2 linked regions of the Arabidopsis thaliana genome follow. The protein of the gene in region 2 interacts with the protein of the main gene of each other region in a pairwise test. Each region holds a gene or a part of one and is shown on either strand. Other genes may lie near its edges.

Region 1 (3,831 bases), on a different chromosome or scaffold from region 2:
TACAATATCTTTGTCTTAAATTATAAATTTAAATTGAATCTAATAATTTTTATTTTTCATTAAGTAAAAATTTAATAATAAAGAAAAATATGTAGTATATTGTTCTTAGAAACTAATGTTTTACTTTTTTTTTTGTTTAAAATTTTACATATAGAATTACATATATATAGTTGTATTCTACCATGCATTTTAAACTTATTCCATTCTACAACTCATTTATGCATTTAAAATTTTGAAGTATGATCATTTTTAAATTTTTTATCAGTTAAAAGTTGAATTATATTTTTATAATATTATTTTTTTATTATTTTAATATCTCATTTATTTACATAATTTATTTTTCATTTATTTAATTATTTTTATTAATTATAAGTAATAGAAATATGCACTAAATGAATGTTTTAAATTTATTTTAATGTAAAATAAATAGTGATGTTTAGATGGGTGCTTAGGTGGATGCTTATGTGGATATATTAGATGGAGCAAGGACTCTCCTTAATAATAACAACAAAATATATACTGTTTTGTTTATATTGAACCAAACCAAATAAAATAAACAGTAAACAGTATATATATAGATTTGAGAATTTGATTTGGTTCAATTTTGGTTTAGGAATAATAACAACAAAATATAATGAAATACTAGAATTAAAAGACAAATATTAATTTCATATAATATATTGAAAAATAGATATTAAGGAGATACAATCCTAAACAAGCTCTTCTTTTACGACCACAAGATGTTGGAAAGTTTTATCGTCACTTTTTTCACTGTTGTTGGCCACATCCTCTTGTTTGGTCTTTTGAGGCTCACCATTAATTTCACGATTTAGTTTACAAAATTTTCTTTTGTTCTTTGCACGAATTCTCTGTTCTCTTTCTTCGCTTGTTTCATTCTTGTAGTGAGATGACATATGTGCAGCAAATTTTTGAGAAGTATTAAAGACGCCATTGCACTTGGGACATGTATATGGACCATATTTTTCATATGGTAGACTATGTGTCCTACCATCATTGTGATCATTGTTACTTTTCTCGTTTTCTTGAGACTCAATGTAATCAGTAGTTGCTTCAAAAAATATGGTTGGTTTCAAGATTTTCTTCATAGAACGACCATCTTGGAGAACACGTTGATCATGATTGTGCTTTGATGACAAGGAAAACATGTCTAAATGTTGAGGATATGCAGAATTTTGACTCGGAAAAATGACATTAAGAGGTTTAGGATTCAAAAATTCGCATTGTTTATCAAAAGTATTTGGAGGAGAAAATATAGGATTCCAAATATTGGTTTTGGGATTCATGGCACGTTTGACACGTTGAGCATCATATTGTACAGCGTCAAGTGTATTAGTAGGAACAATGGCTGTAAATTTGTTTGTAATGGTTTGTGTGAAAGAAACTCGAGTAAAATGAGGATTGTTTGTGATAGAAAAATAATTGTCATCAGAAATTATGTTTCTCTTCATCATATGATTTTCCACATGTGAATTTTGGAATCCAAATGAAGATGAAGAGGCATGTGAATTATGAAAACAAGAAAAAGAAGGAGATGATGAAAACAGATCACCATGGTTTGTGTGATCCGAAGTAATGAACCTCGAATGAACCATTTGAGAATTTTGATTCATTTGGATGGAGGAAAAACCACGATTGTTATCATCACAGTGAGGATTGAACTTATTTGGCATAGAAGACATTTTGAAAGATAGATAGAGTATATATTTTCTATTGTTTGTCTTACCCTTTTATATCAAATACAAACTACGTAATAAATATATTAACCTCAAAAACGGAAATTAATCTTTAAATGCGAAAGGAAAAAAATCTACTTTATGTTCTCTATTATAAAATTATATTAAATATTTATAAATAAAAGAATCTTTAATTATTCATTTATTTCCCTGCAATCATCTTTATTTATTTGGTAATATATGGATGCAATATAAAATTTGATTTCCTGTCATATTCCTTGATTCAGTAATTGAAAATATGGACAAGATCCAGATTTAATATATATGTTAACATATATAAGGTAGTTTACTTTAGGAAATATATATTCATAAAGAGCATTTGTTGATGTTGTGTCTTCTATCTTAATTTTGTTTGGTGATATTACTTATTTGGATCCCTATTTAGTTCTATAAGTTTATTTACTAATTATTATTAAATAAATATTTATAGTTTGCATTGTGTAGATTTGCAATCTTATCTTCTAATAAAAGTTTTTATCGAAAATCTTATCTTGTAAGTTATAACTTAGTAAGTAACCATATATAATAAATGAAAATAGTTATTCCGGGATCACCTTCATCATTTAAAAGCAAATAAAATTTAACATTTGTTCAACTACTAATGCATATAAAAGCCTATGAAAATATCTTAACAAAAAAAACTATACAATTTGAAGGTCAATATGTTAAAAGTCAATAAATTAGAAACATAAAATAAATAAATATTAAACTTAATTCAGAAGCAACATAAACCATCAACAAATGAGTTTTTAGTGCATCCTTTCATTGTTTTCTAGGTGATTTAATCGCCATATTCAAACTAACGAAGATAACTTAATCTTACTGCAAGTAAAGAAAAAAATTAACAACAAAAAATAGTTTTAGAAAGTTTTAAACAACTAAAGAAGAAAAACCAGAACTAGAAAATCATAACACACAAAAGAACATTCAATAATAATTAAAGAGATAACAAATTATCAATAATAGAGAGAAACAATGACAAAAACAATTAGAGAACAAATTACGGAAACAAAGAAATATACGAAAATTTAGAGACGTGAAAAAGATAGATGGAACTAATGAAAGATATATAAAAACAAAAACTAAAAATGGTAAATTGAAAATGTTAAATTTTTTATAAAGTCCAAATAATTTGGATGGAATAGATACTAGGATCATAAAGAAAAAGAAGAAAATAAAAAAGTAGAGAAAAGAAAGTGAGATAAAAAAATTATTTCTTTACTTACACATGTTATAGGTTTTTTTAACGACTGATGACAGCATATTTATTTTGGCATAGTCAATGAATGCTTATGTTTCAAATATTTATCAACGTTTAATTCATGTTTTAAATAACTGCAGATGAAGTTGATGTTTAAAATAGCTAAAATTTGAAAGTTAACTAACAGAGTCGTTAAACGGGTGATAATGTGCATTAGAGGTTCCGACTAATAATGACATGTTTATTTTGTCATGATCAACGAATATTTATGTCTCAAACGTTAATTAATATTTATTTCATGTTTTAAATGACCACATATGAAATTACTGTATAAAATGGCCACAATTTAAAAGTTGGGGGAGTAAATGACCGCATCCTCTAGTTTGATATTTTTATGATCGCCATGAACTGCTTAAATAATTTAATATATATATCTAGGAAATCTCAATTTTCTTTTTGTTAGCAGCACTCTTGGAGTGAAATGATATATGTCGAACAAATATTTAAAAATGTGAAATTCAATATATATATATATATATATATATATATATATATATATATAAAAGAGGTGAGTTCATACAACTTAAGCTTAAAACATTACATGAAAGATAAGGATAAAGGTTCAATGAGTTTTCCAAGATGCATAACTTTAACAAGATTGCAAAGGCTACAAGATCTTTTGGAATCTATAGAGATTCAAATTTAAAGGCTAGCTGCAAAAAATATCGGATCATCTTATAACCATAATAAGCTCGTGCGATTAACGCATAAGAGCTTTCATTGAATTGCTCCATGGAAGAGGCTGTGGGTGGAGTCTTTTTCCCGATGGCGGAGTAAAGTTTCGGAGAAGGTATCTCCTTAAAAGTGATGCAAGAC
Region 2 (3,941 bases):
ATGGAATACTTCTAATGTTGAATGATTTGAGTTAAGACGACCAAAGATTAAGAAGATAAACCAGAGAGAGTCGATAGAGATAGAAAGGTTAAGTTCATGTGCTGAACCAAGATTATTGGAGAAGCTCATCATATACTCTTTTCTTTTTGTTAAACCGTGTTACATCATTAGCTAGACTCCAATTTTTTTTAAGTTTTATGATCATTGTGATTTGTAAAGAAATTTGTTATAGACATTGAACTTGTAATCTCTTATTTAATTTGCAAAAAACAATATTTAACCAACTGATCAACAACGGTCATTTAATCGTACAATATAATTCTTATAAAATATCATGTTTATTTGCGAACATATAAAGTCAACCCCGATCAGCAACAACCTTCTCCAAAATTTGTGTGAATTCAATTATTTCTTCACTATATTTGCAAGAATGTGGTTATACTATACTTTTGTGTGATATTTTCAATTAAAATAGAGTTTAGTGATATGATCCACATGACAATATCCCTTAAAACATGATTAGTCAGTCGAATTAATCGGTCATGTGTTTCACTAGTGGTGTGAATGTGAATCAATCAGTTTGTAAACTATGAGGAGATTCATACGTTAATCATGCTTGTAACTTGTAAGGGATTATCATCATATCTGGTTTTAAAAGGACAATTTGCAAGGGAAATTAAAACTTTAAAAGGCTATTAATTGAAGGGGAAAAGGAAAAAAAGAAGAAGAGAATTGATGGATACATAAAATACTAGCTAGTATTTAAAGTGATGAGGATATCATGTGCTCCCATTGGCCCCATGTCTTCATCAAATATTTTGATGCCACAATTTGGAATATTCTTTTGATTAGTTTATCAATCATTTAATCCTAACCAGAAGTAATTTGTATTTCAATAAAAACAATGTTCTAAAAGGGATTTGGAGGATTAATTTAGATTAAAGCGAAGGATGAAATAAAGAGTACTAACAGATTGAGATTATCAAGGTAACTTTTTGGTTGCTTGTGTGATTCGTTACAAGCTAGCTAAAATAAGATAATGGTTTTTATATAAAGGTAATCAGGTTGGATGTAATCGGGAATCGCACTAAGTAAGTTGACCAGATTCGTTTAACACTAACATTACATTATAAAACACACTTATAATACCATCTTATACAGTTTAATTATGAACTACCATTCAAAAATCACATTTCATCTTCATGCGCATGACACACCATACTTCCTTTACCAACTTTTTTTTTCTCATTTCTATATTCAAATCATCAATAAGAAAATCACACTAGAAACCATTTTTTTTACGTGAGAGAAGGACGTCGAGACACATTCACTTTGCTTGAACAAAAAAAAACACATTTAATTAAAATGACAAAAATAATGAATAGAGAGAGAGACATTATCAGAATATATCCAAAGAAAATAACTCATTAATTAATAAATCCAAATGGAAGAAATGATAAATATAGAGAGACAAGCAGGTCACAGAGGAAACGAGTGACGAACAAATCATAAATAAACACGTGTCATGTTATCGTAATAACACACAACAGAGTAAGTAATGCCACGTGGCTTATCGAGTTTTTATAAAGACAAGACAGAAGAAGTAGCTCAGATCCACTCACACCTCGTCTCCTAATCTGTACGGTTCTTATTTCGAAAGGGTAAAAACCAAAAGCGACGCAAAGGGCAAAATCGGAAAAAGTGTTTTATTTATGGCCGCCGTTAGTAGTTCGTCGGAGACCGGAGACTGCGGCGTTACGGGAAAGAGAGATGAGATCATGTTGTTCGGAGTTAGAGTCGTGGTTGATCCGATGAGAAAGTGTGTGAGTTTGAACAATCTCTCTGATTATGAAAAGTCTTCTCCGGAGGATGAGATCCCTAAGATAGTCACCGCCGGAGCTGGAGATGGTGAAGATAAGAACGAAACGGATGCGACGGTGATTGTCGCTGACGGTTACGCCTCCGCCAATGACGCTGTCCAGATTTCGTCTTCTTCCGGCGGGAGGAAACGAGGTACTACTCTTTTTCTGATTCTGATAAGAGCTTAGGATTCTGATTGATTGTATTATTAGAATGTCTCTAATTTGAATCTTATCCAATTCGTGATTGAATCTATGCATGTTGGAATTTATGTCGGTGATTGATTGGTTTTGAGCTATGGATTCGTTGTCGTTGATTATTGTTTGTTTGTGTTGAACAAAACAGGGGTTCCATGGACAGAGAACGAGCATAAGAGGTTCTTGATTGGGTTGCAGAAAGTAGGAAAAGGAGATTGGAAAGGAATATCAAGAAACTTTGTGAAGAGTAGGACTCCTACTCAAGTAGCTAGTCATGCTCAGAAATACTTCCTCCGACGAACCAACCTCAACCGTCGCCGAAGAAGATCTAGCCTTTTTGATATCACTACTGAGACGGTAAATCTCTACTCTTATCCTAAATCATTTTATGTTAGCTAAATCATATGTGAATGAAAAGGTCTAGACTTTAGCTTAGTTGATAGAACTTAACTTTCTTACTTTCTTTGGTGTTCTCTGCTTTCTCAAAGCTCTTTCCTTTCTTAGGTTTTTAGTATTTCTTCTTTAGAACTTAAAGACAAAGTAATATGGAGAAGTATCATAATGATTTTTGGTCTAATTGGGTATATATCTTTTAAGTTGTAGTTTATAAACAATAATGGTAAGTGTGTGACAGTTAGGTGTGATTGGTTTGATCAGGTTACAGAAATGGCCATGGAGCAAGATCCTACTCAGGAGAACTCACCACTACCTGAAACCAACATCAGCTCTGGACAGCAAGCGATGCAAGTTTTTACTGACGTGCCGACAAAAACTGAGAATGCACCAGAGACATTTCATCTCAACGATCCATATCTGGTTCCAGTAACCTTCCAAGCAAAGCCAACATTCAATCTAAACACAGATGCTGCTCCACTTTCTCTCAACCTTTGTCTGGCATCCTCATTTAATCTTAACGAGCAACCCAACTCAAGACACTCGGCTTTCACGATGATGCCAAGCTTCAGCGATGGAGATAGCAATAGCAGCATCATCAGAGTTGCTTAGAGCTTAAACCCAAGGTGAATCTACAAGACCTTGTTTCTTTCTTTGTTTCTCTGTTGTTGTAGTACTAGTAGTACATATTAGGTATAAACAGATAAGAAAAAAGAACCCTATTAAGTCTCAGTCCTGTTTTTGATCTTTCTTTAGGCCTTACTTTGTCAAACTTTTATGTATTTTGTCTGAAAATATAATCAGGGGAAAAAAAAAACAGAACAAAAACAGAGGAAGGCTATAGAGATTGATGGACAAACTGTGTCTAGGGTGCTTCATCATCTTTGTTTGTTTGTAAAACTCTTGTCACACACACTGTTATGAGTCATTTTCTGCTGTGTGTGTTTTGTTTTGTGGTGATGTAAGTTAAAAACAAGCGTGATTCTCATGTGGCCCATCTCAATCAATGGTTGGTGATTTGTGGGGTTTTTAGGCTTTTCTATTATCTTATCTTTTGGGGATAAGATAAAAGCCTAAAACTGTATGTAACTATGTATGGTTCTTCGAATATTTTATCATTTATCTCTAATGTCATAATAATGTTGCCAATTTCATATGCCACTTCGACTTTTGTGGATTTTTTTTTTTCTCTTTCCCTAGCAAACACCATTTTTCCCTATAGTACATGACAATCCAAAAAACAGAGTAAATTTTAAAGAAAAAGAATCTAATTTTGTCAATTTTACTTGTCTGCGATTAGCCGTTATTTCAGGTATTATTGGTCAAATTAATTCTTTTCCCAATCCAAATATAGAGGACTAGATAATAAAGCTAATAACCTCTGTTTTTTTTGGGTTCCTTTTCCTGTTACCATTTCAATCTTCATGTAACCCTTTTAAGATAATTTTCTTCTTCCTGTTAATTTATCTGAAGTTTGCTTCTTATCTTCGT

The links.
Region 1: the proteins of AT1G19000 (region 2) and AT2G15740 interact in a two-hybrid assay, tested with the Arabidopsis thaliana proteins (one large-scale study listed by BioGRID).

Annotation. Positions count from the first base shown.
Region 1 is NC_003071.7:6,856,036-6,859,866, forward strand, and holds AT2G15740 (C2H2-like zinc finger protein), read right to left. Parts: upstream 1,701-3,831; coding exon 711-1,700; downstream 1-710.
Region 2 is NC_003070.9:6,560,456-6,564,396, reverse strand, and holds AT1G19000 (Homeodomain-like superfamily protein), read left to right. Parts: upstream 1-1,605; 5' UTR 1,606-1,712; coding exon 1,713-2,013; intron 2,014-2,205; coding exon 2,206-2,414; intron 2,415-2,714; coding exon 2,715-3,062; 3' UTR 3,063-3,906; downstream 3,907-3,941.